2 linked regions of the Alligator mississippiensis genome follow. The protein of the gene in region 2 interacts with the protein of the main gene of each other region in a pairwise test. Links are inferred from orthologs where the notes say so. Each region holds a gene or a part of one and is shown on either strand. Other genes may lie near its edges.

Region 1 (7,579 bases), on a different chromosome or scaffold from region 2:
CGTGTCATCCCCCGCCACCTCCTGCTCCACGTGCAGGATGCGGATGTGCGAGGGGATGCGCAGGCTCCGGCTGGCGATCATCTTCAGCAGGGTAGTCTTGCCCAGCCCATTCCTGCCCACCAGTCCATAGCGCCGGCCAAATGCCAGGTTCAGGTCTGAGCCTGCTAGCAGCACCCTATGCAAAGGGAAGAGCCAGACATCTGCTCAGCAGCAGCCTCCAGACTTCATGGGCGGACGGGAGTTAGCTCACTGCTCAGGACAGTGCTACAAAGGCAACACACCCCTGCCCTGCCCCTCAAGCCTGTCCCATTGCCTCCCTCAAACCAGGGTATTTCCAGGCTCCCACTAGGGCATCTCTGCCCATCCTCGTCCCATGTTCCCCAGCCTCCCAAGGACTCACCGCTCACCGAAGGACACATCGAAGTTCTCAATGCGCACATCATATGACTTGTTCTTGCCCGACGACTCCATGCGTGTTTCCTTCTTGCTGGCAGCTTGGCTGGCAGACGCCTCCTCCAGGACCCTGGCACCAGAAAAGGGAGGACAAGTTTCAACGTAGGCAAAAAGCCTTTGGGCAAGTCAACCTCCCCTCCCCCACACCACATGGACCCAAGCGACTAAAAGCCTGGCTGGCTCTGGGGCACACCCTGCACACTCACAGCGGGTTACTGGACTTCAGGGTATCCTTCTCCAACCTCTTGTCCTGCTTAGCCTTCAGCCTGGCTTCGGCTTTCTGCAGCTTCTTGGCATTCACCATCTGGGGCACAAAGAAGGGGTTTAGAGAAGGCCGAGAATCCTGCAGGCATCCTCAGGCACGGGTCCAGGAGGGAGCAGCCCAGGTACTGAACACAAATCCTAGAGGCCTGGGAAGCTCCCAGGAAGGAGCAATACTTGGTGGGGCACAAGGACATAAGGGGCGAGACAGAATTAAAGCTCACTGCAGGGAAACGTCTCTAGCTGGGGACTCGCTCAGGAATGGAGTGGTCCATGGGCAAGGCTGGCCAGCGGGTGCCATGCAGATGATCTGGCAACCGTTCGTTCTGTCCCGCATATAAAACACCACAATCTCTCAGGAGCTCCGAGTGTCCCAGTCGCTTCTCCCCACCTCTCCCTCCATCAGCTGCTCCACTTCCCTGGTGACCAGAATTTCCTGCAACCTGACCCAAACTCCCACTATGTGGTCGACAAACCAAGATGGGGCTCAGAAACACTGCGCAGACTCAAAGGACCAGAAGGGACCAGGCTGATCTGCCTGACCAGCTGTAAGATTCCCCCAAACCAATTCCTTCCTCAAGCAAAACCATTATAGTTAAACTGCCGCCAATTTTCCAAACAATGTAACCTAGTATCTGGTCACACCAACTGCACCCAGCCTGCCAGGCAATACAGATCCTTCTTCAGAGAGCCTGTCCCCTCCACCCAAGGCATCTACAAGGAAAATCTTATGGTTTTACCCCAGGTCAGTGGTAAGAAGGTTAAGTAGTGAAAGACTAAGAACTGCTCACTGCAAAAAAACTGCTTCATTACAAGTCCCCATTTGCACGTACACGGAGACATATTTGTTGGGCAGCTTGTAATCAGTCTGTGCCGTGCTGACGAGTCCGTAACAGCCTGGCTGCTTAATCACAAAGCCCTACAGGAAGAAGCCAAATGCCCTGCAGAAGTCCAAGCATGCCACGTTGCCACTATTCCTTACAACCAGGCTGGCAACCCCCTCATCAACTGACACGATCTTAAATTCAACAGAATCTATAAGTTCATGTTGTTGGACATCACTCCCTGCCTGCCATTTGATTCTTTAACCATCAAATCCTGTATCATCTCCCCCTTTGTTTTGCTTGGGATGTCAGGCTGACAGGCCAAACGTTCCCTGGGAGATTGTATTTACCAGATTCAGTCCAAGCAGTCCCTGAAGTTAACCCAAACCTTGACACAGAGGAAGCAGCAGAAACACGTAGTTATGGACCTAACAGAAGACCCCCAACCTGACTAGAGAAGACCTCTAGCGGGACAGACTGGGGGAAAGCAGGGGCTCTCACAAGGTGCGAAGCAGAGGGGGCAGTTTGCTGCTCCGCGTGTTTATTGCAGCCTGGGGAGCAGTAACGGGAGCAAGGTGAGGATCACGTGCGCCACCATCTATCGTTTTTTCCAGGTAAAAATAAACCAGCGTAAGACCTCCTTACCGAGGTCTGGTCTCTCTTCAGCAGCAGCTTTGGTAACAGGTCCGCGCCCGCATCTGCAATCAAGCAGGAAGTCCGTCAGCGCGAGTTCTGCACCCTCGCGCTGGGCCCGGCTCCCGGCTCCGTGCCGCCCAGACGGCAACGAATTCACACGACTCGCTGGCAGGCGGAGCAATAGCCTGGCGCGGCAGGTGCAAACACCGAGAAAGACAGAGGCCAAACGGCTCGTCCGAGGTGACATCAGAACCTAAATCCTTACCCTGGTTCTTGCCACCGGGTCTGGCGGCCTCACGGACCTTTAGTCGCCTCCAGAGCCCCGTCAGCGGCACCAGCCCTCCCACCACCCCCAGTAAGAGTCCTGCAGGAAGGGGCAGGTCGCACGGGAGACGGGCCAGCGAGCAGCCCACCAACGCAGCCAAGCCTCCTCACCACAGCCATCCGTGATCTGGGAGAGCTGAATGGGGGCGTCCAGCAGCACCTGGTTGCAGCCCCGGGGTTTCTCGTCGTCCCTGCAACGCACACGGCGGTCAACGGGGAAGCTGCCCGGGCACCAGCCCTGCTTCCCCGGCCCCGGCCGGGACGCCGCCACAGCCGGGGGGCGAAGGCAGCACCCGCCCGGGCCCTGCCGCCCCCCCGCCGCCGGTACGCACATGTGCAGCGCGTCGTACATCCTGCGGCACACGTCCCGGATGTCCTCATCGTCTTTGGAGTCGCGGGACACGTCCTGCAGGAGCTCCCCGACCGCCTCGAACAGCTCGTCCTCCGACTCGAAATCCGCCCCGCCGCTGTGCAGCACCCCTGGGGGGGGAAGGGGGCTGAGCGCGGGGGCCTCCGCCACAAACAGGCAGCGCGGGCGGCCGGGGGCAAAGCCAGGGCACCTGCTGCACACCCCGGGCGGGGCAGGGCAGCCCCCAGTCTCTGCCCCCAGCCCTTGCCCCAGCACCTGCCCAAGCACCTACCCCCAGCCCTTGACCTAGCACCTACCCCCCAGCCCCTGCCCCAGCGCACCGGTGACGTAGGCGAACACCTCCCCGTCCAGCTCGGGGAACTCGCTGCGCAGGATGTCAGCGCACGAGGCCATGTCCCGGCCCGGCCCGGCCCCGCTCCGCTCCGCCGGGCCACGGAGTCCCGGAAAGGACAGCGCACGCAGGGGCTGCCGGGAAGGCGGGTCCGCCATGCGCGCGGGCTGCTGGGAAACAGAGTCCAGGACCCGGGGACGGGGACGCAAGGGCTGCCGGGAAGGAGGAAGCGCGGGGGCTGCTGGGACATGGAGTCCGCGAGGCGCGGGGCATGCCGGGAATGTGGGCCTGCAGGGCGAAGCTTCCCGCCTTGTGCGGAGGGGGCGCATGCGCACTGCTGCCCCACGTGGCGGCATGCTACGTGCTGCTCCAGTGCCGTTTCCCTGGTGGGGAGCAGCCTCGGCCTGCAGCCCCACGCATCCCCGACCTCCCACGGCAGCCTCGGGCGAGGGCAGATCTAGGGCTTTGCAAAGAGGCTGCGAGGGGGAGGTGCAGGATCACGTGCGACACCGTCTCTCGTTTTTCCGGTTACAAATAAATGAGAAGCTTTACTCCTCAGCCTGGACGATTCGGTTGAAGATCGAAGCCAGAGCTTCACTGGAAGTTCGCAGTAAAACCATATCGGCCTGGCCGGTGCGGTCTCCCAGCGTTCGGGGCTTGGACCGACGCGTCTTCATCGAGGACCTGGATGTGGGGGCGAAAAGCAAACTGGCAAAGCTCACCGATGACACTAAGCTGTGGGGAAGCGCGGCCGTGCATCGAAGGAGGCTGACGATCCAGGCGGCCATCGCCACGTTAGTTGGAAGCCGATGCTGTTCAGCACTGAGAAGTGTGAAGTGCTCCATCTGGGGAGGAAAAATCTGCGACAAACTTACAGGCTCGGTGGCGCTACACTAGCAAGCACCATGTGTGAAAGGGACCTGGGGTCGTAAGTGACCATAAAATGAATAGGAGCCACCGGTGCGGTGCTGCAGGTAGCAGAGCAAGCACTGCGCTGGCGTGCATCAACCGGTGCATCTCGAGCAAAACTAAGGAAGCGATTCTCCTGCTCCACTCGGCCTTGGTGAGGCCACGGCTGGAGGGCTGCGTCCAGTTCTGGGCGCCACTTCAAGAAGAACGTGGAGAAGCTGGAGGGAGTCGAGAAGAGCCACTCGTATGATTAGAAGCCTGAAGAGCAAGCCTTACGAGAAAAGGCTGACAGATCTGGGACTGTTCAGCCTAGAAAAGAGAAGACTTCAGGGGGATTTGGTGGCCGCTTACAAATATATCGGGGGTGAGCATCAGGGGCTAGATGAACAACTATTCACCAAAGCGCCCCAGAGGAAGACCAGGAGCAATGGACATAAACTCCTAGAAGGAGGTTTCAGACTGGATATAAGGAAAAACGTCTTTATGATTCGTGTGCCCAGACTCTGGAATAGACTCCCCGCGGCGTGGCGAAGGCGCCTACCCTGGAGATCTTCAAAAGGAGACTGGACGCACACCTTGATGGGGTGATTTGACCCCAGCTGCCTTTCCTGCCCAGAGCAGGGGGCTGGACCCGAGGATCTCACAAGGTCCCTTCCAGCCCTAAACTTGGGTGAATCTTTGGAATGAGTTAAAAACAAGCTGCAAGGCTGTGAAATAGGAGCTTCTGCTACCAGGAACAGCAAACAGGCTGCAGAACAAGGGACAGCTTGACAGGCGGAGCAGCAAGATAATGAAAAAGAGGGTCGTTAACACCTGTAGAGTGAAGAGTTTAGGAGGGATCAGTTCGAGCGCAACAAGCTATGAAGTCAAACGACTCCTTCAGCCGGGCCCGACTAGAAACGCTGCTGCCGCTGCCAGACAGTTGGTTTAAAACTTTGGATGGAGCAGGAATCAATGCAGGGTGCAAGCGCACCCCCTGGGCCGCAGGACCTGCCGGCCACCAGGGAAAGCCCAAGAGGAGGAAGGCATAAAGCCGTGGCCCCAGAGTGCCACCAGGGCAGGGCAGGCTGAGGATGTCTTTCTGTTTCTAAACCCCATTGTCCCCAAGATCAGGTGACAGTGATGGCGGTCTCCCTCAATGCAAAGCTGCCCCTGTATGAAGAAATAAAAACTGTAGCAGGAAGACTGGAAACCTCTCTCTCAGCTGCTGCTTTACATCATTCATGCTGGTTCATCCTTCCACCTAGCTCTGCCTTTAAAATGCCCCTGGGCTACGTGGACCCGCTGTCCATGGACGCTAGGCTTTCAAAACAGCAGATTTTGGCCCAGGAGCTCCTTCCAACACAGCATCTTTAGCAGCAATGATTTGAACTATCCCAGTTCATCGCATCCTGTACCCCGCACTGTAGGATCGAGTCCCTTAGAGCAGTTCCAGTGTGACTCTTATACCAGAGCGTGGGCTTCGAAGGGGGGCTGAGGAGCCCGCTAGAATTTGGGAGAAAGCACTTCTAAAATGCCACATCTGCTGTCATCCCCCTCACATCTGCCCCCTGCTCAGCAGGATGGCAGGAGAGAGGAGCACTTCTGCCCAGCAAGGCAACAGCAGTCACCACCAGCTACATCCCACAGGCGACAAAGTCCCAGCTGGGCGCCAGAGGGGGCTGGTGAACAGCGGAGAAACCATCCAAAGTCTGTGGCGGCCAGTCCGAATGCCGCCTCTGGCAGGCAGAGTCCCCGATCCCTGTTTGTAGTCACTGGGGGTCATTACAGGAACCCCCCCCATGCACTTTCCCGTGCAAGCTGCCCTTGCAAAAGCAAAGATTTTGCCACTAACTGCAGTCAGCCTAACGGTCACTGGCAGTGCCAGGATCACTGCTTCCAAAGGGCAGTGCGGTTCCAGGAAGGAGGGCAGAGGAACACCACTGGGGTTTGCATCTGGGTTTTAATTCAGTGCCCAGTTTGCCAGGGCTGCGGCAGGGAAGATCCAGGGTGGAAGCAGGGGGCTGAGGGGCAGGGGAAGGGGGAACACGAAAGAGCTCACTGCTTCTTGCTGCAGAAGGGACCCCTGGATCGTGCACGTGAGTGGAGAGAGAGGAGCATCCCACCCTCTCCCAGCAGACAGGCGGGAAATTGCTGCCCCAGGGCCAGAAATAGCAAGCACCATGACTCCTGCTGGCACCAGGGAAGGGCCCAGGGGAGGAGGAGTCCTTAGGGGTTTGGGGTCCGCTGCTATTCAGGAAGATGGGACAGACCCCTTTGCAGTGGGAGACCCCTGCTAGGAGCCTGGGGGGCACACAGCTAGGATCGCACACGTCTCATTGCCCTGTGGACTGGGCTTGTGCGCTCCCTTGCACATCTCCGTGGGGCCCGCGTGGCTGGGTTGGAGAAGGGGTGATGGCCTTCAGCTTGATCTGCCAGGAATTCGCACGGAGGATCTTGCCGGCGCGGCGGACCAGGCACGTGTACTGCCCCTCGCTGAGCTCAGTGGCGAGGATGCGCAGCCCCTGGCGCGGCAGCAGCTCCAAGCCAGGCACGGAGCAGGACAGGAGCTCCCCATCTTTGTACCACCTGTGGAGAAAGGGGGCAGTGGTGAGAAGTCCAGCGTAGCTGCTCTCAGCCAGCTACAGCTGCCAGCGTCCCTGCACAGGTGTGAGCACCTTCTCTGTGCCAGCCTCCTCCAGACACCGCTGAGCGCTCATCTCGCTCCCTGCCTGCTGCTCAGGGAGGGGCGCGTAGTTGATGCAGCGGTAAAGATGCAGGGACTGGTTTTGTTCAGGCTTGATCCGAACCAAGGCCCCTGGCCGCCGCTGCCATACAAGACGTCCCAGCTCAGCTGCCAGGGCCCCCATCTGCTTTGCGTCCGGAAGCGGCCGCCCTCCTCCTTCCCTCCACAGCTCCAGGAGGAGCTCCCTGCCCCGTGGAAGAGGTCTGCTTGCAGAGGCCAAGGGTCAGGCTGGGGCTTAGGCAGCTCGGGGTCAGGGGTGGTAGCTGCTGCCCGGACCCGAGTGACTGCGGGAAGGGTGCAGCCCAGCCTCTCTCCTGCTGCATCTCACCTGACGTGCAGGTGCGGCCTGGAGGAGTTCAGCCCACAATGGAAGGTGATGACTCTGCCTTCGGAGATGTACCTGGCGTGGGGAGGCCGGGCCGGGGGAGTGGGGGCGGCAGCGGGGGCCTCTGGAAGACAGAGAGATGCACAGAGCAGTGACACCAGCAGCTGTGGGGCCTCGCACCCACCCCCTGCGAGCCCTCTGTCCCCGTGGGAAGGTCTCCGCAGGCCTGGCAGGGGCAGCATCAGCGGGACATGAGGGGGTGCCAGGAGGACTTTGCCCTGGCGGGGCGGGGCTGGGCAGGGGGACGACCCCCAGCTCGGGCTCTGTGGGGAGCTGGCTGCCGTGGGCCGTGCCACTGCGTGGCTGTGGGGCGAGGGCACCTCACCGAAGCAGGAGTTGCAGATCTTGGGGCAGTGCCTCT
Region 2 (7,891 bases):
TGGACATGATTCACAAGATAAACCCAGAGACTTCAAACAGGAATCTAGCATGTCACACCTATGCTGCTCTGTCATGGGCTTCCTGAGGACGATCTTGACAAGTGGAGGTCTGGGCTCCGTGGCAAGGGAGAACCCAAGACGACAGGAGACCTCCACCTCGCTGCAGCCTTCTTTTGTCTTTACAGCCATTGGGATCCTGACAGCTTCTCTTGCCCCATCCGCTGTTGAGCAGTTGGGGTTGGGCTGTGGTTTGCCTGGAACCTCCTCTTGGGCTTGTTCACCAGGGGTGACCCTGCCAGGAGTGTGGGACTCCAGGCAACATAGCTCTGACAAGCACTGGGACATGTAAGCCTCTCCACCACTACAAGGTCTCGGTCTATCGAAAAGAGTGGAGAATCATCGGTCTGGTCACTGCTACAGGTGTCTTCCAGGAGGCTCCCTAGAGCAGGGCATCCAAGCCCCTCCACCACCTCTGTGCACAGCCCCTGCCTCTTCCTTTGCACCAGTGAGTCTCCACCAGGAAGCGGCAACACCGGGGGGCAGGCAGGGTGGGAGCAAAGGGGGCTGCCAGAAGCTTTTAAGGGTGCTTGAAACGTGTAGCTTCAAGGGTACAAATACCTGCATGTGATTCACAAGAACAACCCAGGCAAGTCATACAGGGCAAGGCTGAAGGAGCCAGGCATGTTCAGCTTGCAGAAAAGGCACTCAAGCAGGGACATGACAGCAGTCTTAAAATACCTGAAGGGCTGCCATCGAGAAGAGGGAAAACACCTTTTCTCTCTTGCTGCAGAGAGGAGGATGCGGACCAGGGACTTGAAGCTGCAGCAAAGTAGGTTCAGGTTGGATCTCCAGAAAAAACTTCACTGTGAGAGCAGAGAGGCAGTGGAAAAGACATCTGGAGAAGCTGTGGATGCTCCATCACTGGGGGTGTTCATGGAGAGGTTGTACAGCCTCTGGTCAGGGGGTGATGCCTGTGTGCTACTATGAGGATTTGATGTTCTGTTTCTGCTACACGTGTCAGGGGGTTTCAGGCCTTCTTCGGAGGCACTGGGTGCTGCCGCAGCCCAGGCTGGGGATGGGGAACATCCTGCTGCAACCAAACCCGGAGGTTCCTGGCTGGAGGGTCCTGCCCCTACATTTGGGGTCAGACCGATGCTGCATTGGGGCCAAGAAGCAGTGCTGTACCATGATTCCCAGTGGCCCCAGGCAAACTTTTTGTATCAGGACCCCCTTTGCCAGAGAGAATGACTTTTTTGTTGCAAAAGTCTTTATCGCATCTGTGGTACTAATGTCTTTAAAAAGCTCATTCTCAATTGATAACATTGCTAGTAGTCCTGTAGATGTGCAATATTAAAACTTGTAATTTTTTTTTTCATTTTCGGGCCCCCTTTCTGTCCAGGCCCTGGGCGGACACTTGGTTTGCCCATGCCTGCGTCCGGGTCTGCCAGGAAGGGATCAGAGTGGTAAGGACTAGGGGGGGGCTTGGTTGTAGGTTTGGTTGTACTGGGGGTGACCCTGATCAGACTGGTAGGGACTGGGCGGGCTTGGTGGCAGTTTCGGTTGTACTGGAAGTGACCCCCAATTGGATTGGTAGGGACTGGTGGGGCTTGGTTGTAGGTTCAGTCATACTGGGGGTGACCCTGATTGGACTGGTAGGGACTGGGGGGGGCTTGGGTGTAGGTTCAGTCATACGGGGGGTGACCCTGATTGGACTGGTAGGGACTGGGGGGGGCTTGGGTGTAGGTTTGGTCATACGGGGGGTGACCCTGATCAAACTGGTAGGGACTCAGGGGGTCGTTTTCCTCCCTAGCAGCTGCCTGGGCTCCCCTGGGCTACAACCAACTTTTGGGGGAGCTGCTTGTAGCCTGTTGCTCTAAGGACAGAGGCAGACAAGATGCTTTGGGTAAACGTAGTTGGCAGCCGTGCTGGTCGGAGACAAAAAGAAATGCAAACATGTAAAACTCTTGGTTCAGAGGTGAGACCTTTCATTAGAGCAACTGAGAAATTGCAAAAAAATAAAAATAAATAAATAAAAAAACATTTTTTTGCAATTTCTCATCTAGTTTAATGAAAGATTTCATCTCTGAACCAAGAGGTCTGGATTTTTGCATTTCTTGGGGGAAATACAATATCTTTCATTAAACCAACTAAGTCGTGGGAACAGCTGGCTTCTTGCGAACGCTGCAAACAAGGGGCTCGCGCATGCGCAATCCCTCCCCTCGGGCGCAGCAAGGGGAGGAGGTAGCCCTGCCCGCAGGGGAGGGAAGGGGCGTGGCCACGCTGCCCGTCCCTCCCCTGAACTCTATGGTGGAGGGCGGGGTCTCTCTAGCCAATCAGGCGGATCAGGCTCGGTGGTGGGTGCGCGACGTTCCGCTGCGCATGCGCAGAGAGGGGGGGCGGTTGCGGGTGCCCCGGAGGCCGCGCGGGGGCGCTGCGACCCTGCCTCCGCCTCCCCCGCCCCGCCCCCCTCCCCCTGCCGCGCCGGCCCCGCCTCCTGCCGCGGGGCCGCATCCTGCTCCGGCCGCCGGGAGCGGCGCGTGCGGAGCGCGACCGGCAACATGCAGCCCCCGCCGAGGAAGGTGAGCGCCGGGCCGGCCCGCGGTTGGGGTGCGCGGCGCGCGGCGGGGTGAGGTTCGGTTGCACCGGGGGGATGGGGGTGGGTAAGGTGAGGTTAGGTTGCACTTGAGGGGGGTAACGGTTGCACTGGGGGTAGGTTAGGTTGCACTGTGGGGCTGGGGTGCGTGATGTTCGGGTGCGCTTGCACTTCGGGGGGAGGTTAGGCTGCCCTGGGGGGTGGCTACGCTGTACTGGGGGTGGAGGTGGGTGAGGTTGGGTTGCCCTGGGAGCGTAATGGCTGTACTTGGGGGGTAGGTTAGCTTGCACTTGGGGGGGGGGGTGAGGTTAGCTTGCACTGGGGGCAACAGTTGTGCTTCGTGGGGTAGGTCAGGTTGCCATAAGTGGGGTAGGTTGTATTGGGGGATGGAGGTGGGTGAAGTTCGGTTGCCCTGGGGGGGGGGTAGGGTAGGTTGCATTTCATGGGGTAGGTTAGGTTGCCCTGGGGGGGTAGGATAGGTTGCACTTCGTGGGGTAGGGTAGGTTGCACTGGGGGATGGAGGTGGGTGAAGTTCGGTTGCCCTGGGGGGGTAGGGTAGGTTGCACTTCGTGGGGTAGGTTAGGTTGCCCTGGGGGATGGAGGTAGGTGATGTTAGGTTGCCCTGGGGGGGTAGGGTAGGTTGCACTGGGGGATGGAGGTAGGCGACGTTAGGTTGCCCTGGGGGGGTAGGGTAGGTTGCACTTCGTGGGGTAGGGTAGGTTGCACTGGGGGATGGAGGTGGGTGAAGTTCGGTTGCCCTGGGGGGGTAGGGTAGGTTGCACTTCGTGGGGTAGGTTAGGTTGCCCTGGGGGATGGAGGTAGGTGATGTTAGGTTGCCCTGGGGGGGTAGGGTAGGTTGCACTATGTGGGGTAGGGTAGGTTGCACTGGGGGATGGAGGTAGGCGACGTTAGGTTGCCCTGGGGGGGTAGGGTAGGTTGCACTATGGTGGGGTAGGGTAGGTTGCACTGGGGGATGGAGGTGGGTGAAGTTCGGTTGCCCTGGGGGGGGTAGGATAGGTTGCACTTCGTGGGGTACGGTAGGTTGTACTGGGGGATGGAGGTAGGTGATGTTAGGTTGCCCGGGGGGGGTAGGGTAGGTTGCAGTTCATGGGGTAGGTTAGGTTGCCCTGGGGGGGTAGGATAGGTTGCACTTCGTGGGGTACGGTAGGTTGTACTGGGAGATGGAGGTAGGTGATGTTAGGTTGCCCTGGGGGGGGGGTAGGGAAGGTTGCACTTCGTGGGGTAAGTTTGGTTGCCGTGGGGGGTAGGGTAGGTTGCACTAAGTGGGGTAGGGTAAGTTGCACTGGGGGATGGAGGTAGGTGATGTTACGTTGCCCTGGGGGGGTAGGGTAGGTTGCACTAAGTGGGGTAGGGTAAGTTGCACTGGGGGATGGAGGTAGGTGATGTTAGGTTGCCCTGGGGGGGGTAGGGTAGGTTGCACTTTGTGGGGTAGGTTAGATTGCCCTGGGGGTAACAGTTGCATTTCATGGGGTATGTTAGGTTGCCCTGGAGGTAACAGTTGCACTTCATGGGGTAGGTTAGGTTGCCCTGGGGGGCTGGGGTGGGTGAAGGTAGGTTGCAATGGGGTGACCGGGGTGGGGTGGGGGCAGCCGCGACGGGGCAGGGCCAGGGCCAGGGCACAGGGTTGGTGGCCGTGAGATGGGGTGTGTGGGGCCTGGTGGGGAGCTGGGGCTGCTGCGCAGGGCAGGCGGTGGGAGGCCTGGGGGCGCGGTGCAGATGTGGGGGCGGCGCGCGGGCAGGCTGAGGTGTGCGGGGAGGGCCCCGGGGGTTCTGGTGGGCGGCTGCACGGCGTGCGCCGGGGGTCGCAGGGCGAAGGCAGGGCCATTGGGGGCGGTGGTCCCTTGGGGTGTGCAGTGGGTGAGGGAGGGAGGGCCAGCTGCTTTGGTGAGTGTATTTGGGGGGTTGCCTCACGTGGGGGCTGTAACCTTGAGGCAGGGGTTGTGTGGAGTTGGCTGAGGTGCTGATACAGTGGCGTGGCGGGGGCAGGGGCAGTTTGGGGTCTGCGGGGGCACAGAGCCGTGGGGGGCCGGCAGGTGGGGAAGGAGCTACCTGCAGGTGAGGGCTGCTGGGGGGCCGGTGGTGTGTAAACAAAAGGCTGCAGGCGCACGGCTGTCTCCTGTCGCTCCCCGGTAGTCGGGCGGCTGCAGTGGGACGGCTCCCTGTCTTGCTCTTCTGCCTCTGTTGTTCGGAGGATGGACGCTGCTCCTCTCGCAGGGTCTCGCTAACGCTTCATTGGGTTTTAGTTTGCACTGGGCAGCTTATTTATATTGCGTGTGCGTTCTTCTTTGCCTGCCTCAATTTTATTTCTGTGCAGATTTTCTTTCCATTGCACCGTTTAGCTTTTGCAAAGGTTTTATTTATTTATTTTGAATGGGCTTTTAATTTAAGGCAAAAGAAGTTTCAGTATTTCCCTGATTAAAAATATAATTAGATCTTCCTCCTGCTTGGTCAGAGCACAGGTTGTGTGTCTGTGTGTGTCTGTGTGAAGGTGAGAGACGTGTCTCTTTCTGTAGTGATTCTGGGGTTTATGGTTGGTGTTCGAATTGCGTGGGGGTGCTGTTGCTAGCAGACCAAGTCTGAAATGCCGTTCTGCTTTGCTTGAGAGGAGAGCGGAGGTGTGTGTCAGATCCTTCCCTTCACCTCCTCCTTGTCTTGCTCTCTTCCCCTTCCCCCACAGCGGGACTGTTACACATTTTCATTTTTATGCATATGTCACATCTTTAGATGCATTGATTCTGTTTTTTTTAGGCTGCCACATGGCTTCCCCTTAATTACTGAAGGCAGCCATACATTCCAAGATGCCTTGTCTTAAAAATCCAGTTTTCTGTGCTCAGATCAACCTTTATTTTTGGTGCTGATGTTTATCACAACAGTTCCTCCCACCTCCCACCCCCTGCCAAATATCACTCAAGTTCCCTGATGACTGAAAGCTTGGCCTTAACATTGGGAGGTTCAAAGGACTATAATGCTTGTCTTAAAAATGTTTAGAAGTCAAACTTAAGGAGAAGAAAGGCTCTTGATCTGATGTCCTGTCAACCAGATGAATGTATTTAAAGGCAGCTTGTTCATGGAGCCATTTTAATCAATGCCTATTTCATAATTGTGTAAGTTTAAATGTTAAGGTTTTGATTGATTGTTTCTTCCCCTGGCCCTCTTCTTTGTCTTAAGTCATGTGTTGCTGAACTGATTTTGCTTTAGACAGGCTTATATTTAGAAGCCTGGAATTAAAAACCACGCGTATTTGTTGTTAACAGCAAGGCAGAGCTCTGAGGGGGCCTAGTATATGAAATGTGGACTTTGCCAAGGAATGTATGTTGGAATTGGTCTGTAATTAAGTCTTTACATAGGATTAAATGACCTAACAAACTAGCTTTACACATGCTGACAATGTTTATGATCCTGTTGCTTGTTCGAATACGCAAATTGTAGTTAAGGACATAAAATATTGTTTTATTTTGAGATTGCAGTTAGAATCTAGAGAAAAAATACGGTCTGTGTTTTTTGTAGGTGAAAGTTACACAGGAGCTAAAAAACATTCAGGTTGAGCAGATGACAAAGCTGCAGGCCAAGCATCAGGCAGAATGTGATCTACTTGAAGATATGAGGTAAGGTTACAGAAAATGCTACCAGATTCCTGTAAGATCTCCTTTTGGAAGAACATTTGGGTTACAAAACTCCGGGAACTGATGATGGAATTTCCTCTTGGATTTCCTGCTTTGGAGCTGTTCAAGCTTTCACACAGCTGGAAATTATAACTGGAACTAACACAATGCAAACCATTTTTCTTCTCTTCAATGGGGAAAGTTATAAAAATGTGTCATGAAGAAATCCGGAAAATATTGATCTCTTCAGCAGTATTTCTCTTCTAGAATAAACTGACAGTTTAGTTTGCTTTTTGTGATGCCACTAAGAGTATAAAGCAAATCTTTATAAAATACTGTGTAAACTGGTGAAGTCTTATAGTTAGCTACAAGTAATTTTGGATGGCGTTCATTTAATATAAAATGTAAGATATTTACATTGATATTAAAATATTTTTCTTGCATTCCTTTGCATGTTAGGATCAGTGGAAAAGGTCTGCATGTAACAAACCACAGTTTTGTTTGTCTTTAAATAACCTGATTCTCTTTTAGCGTTTTGTGATCAAAATGTCTGTGAGGACTAATACACACTTTGCATTATATGCGGAAATGAATCAGTAACCGTGGTTGGAGGCAGTCAACTTCTAGACTGGTCATGCTGTGAAACAGTCATATTCATCAATACAACTATTGCTGTCCATCTCTTTGGCACGATATATTCCGCTCATTAAATGAAAATCCTGCGTGATTGGAGATAATTACGTATTATTTATTCATTAAAAACTAATCAAGTGGCAGTTCAACTTCAGGAGGATATCATACAGGTGTTATCTCTATGTATCCCTTGCGTATGAAACCTGTCGAAACAGAAATTCATGCGTTCATAATCTTATCAGATCCCCTCTTTCTTTCCTGGCTATTGAAAGAAGCTTCTTTATGGAAAGATCACAGCATCTATTATCTTGGACTACAAGTAGTGACTATGCATTGTTTACACAGTAAATACTGGTTAATGAGTAGCAGACTGGTATGCAAAGATTTTTTTTTCCTTGGATAAGAACTTAATTTTATAACATCTGCACCTGCTAGCTTGGCTGGAGCCCAGTTCTGCCCAGCATTTCTCTGGTATCCCCTTAGTTCACAGAGTTCAAATTCAGGCCCTTGGTGGTGTGTTTTACTGGAACATAGCACATAAATGCTGTCATGTCATTAAACAATGCTTAGTTACAAGTACAAACTCAGATTTCAAATTTCTTTCTTGAACTAATTTGGAAATCTTAATTTTTCAAATATAGAAACTGGTTTGGGATATTAATTTAAGTAAAGTGGTCACTGAGCGTACATAGTCTCTTCATCAGCCTTGTTGCAAGCATTTTGCATGTGCAGAATTACTCTGTGGATTTACAGGTTAAGCATTCTTTAAACGTGAAATGATGTGATAGGTTGTGACAGCTCCGTTACATCAACGATGTGTTAAAATCTTAAATATAAATGGATAGAGAGCAAGGAGAACTTTTGCCTAAAATCTAAAATGGCTTTGTTTATGATTGTTACAGTTCTTTCTTGGCAGTTAGATGTAACTGGGGTTTTTTTGGGACTATAGGGCCACAAAATAAAGTTGGTCTGAATATCAGGTCCTGTATGTGAGAGGTCCTGCAGCTCCAGTGGGCATTGCTTTCTAAAAGACTCCAGAAAC

Evidence for each region. The genes of interacting proteins can lie anywhere in the genome.
Region 1: the proteins of FCHSD2 (region 2) and ABCF3 interact in binary tests that used the Homo sapiens proteins (3 or more experiments, as listed by UniProt). The two-hybrid records come from large-scale screens. The link is inferred for Alligator mississippiensis from reciprocal best matches to the Homo sapiens genes FCHSD2 and ABCF3.

What each region holds. Positions count from the first base shown.
Region 1 is NC_081830.1:83,797,410-83,804,988, forward strand, and holds the start of ABCF3 (ATP-binding cassette sub-family F member 3), read right to left. Parts: upstream 3,318-7,579; 5' UTR 3,262-3,317; coding exon 3,189-3,261; intron 2,979-3,188; coding exon 2,831-2,978; intron 2,690-2,830; coding exon 2,610-2,689; intron 2,237-2,609; coding exon 2,184-2,236; intron 758-2,183; coding exon 660-757; intron 524-659; coding exon 401-523; intron 176-400; coding exon 1-175. Other genes in the region: matrix metalloproteinase-23-like, read right to left, coding at 6,424-6,676, 7,162-7,282, 7,544-7,579.
Region 2 is NC_081824.1:468,073,783-468,081,673, forward strand, and holds the start of FCHSD2 (F-BAR and double SH3 domains protein 2), read left to right. Parts: upstream 1-4,729; 5' UTR 4,730-5,658; coding exon 5,659-5,718; intron 5,719-6,121; coding exon 6,122-6,219; intron 6,220-7,891. UniProt on the Homo sapiens protein: Adapter protein that plays a role in endocytosis via clathrin-coated pits. Contributes to the internalization of cell surface receptors, such as integrin ITGB1 and transferrin receptor.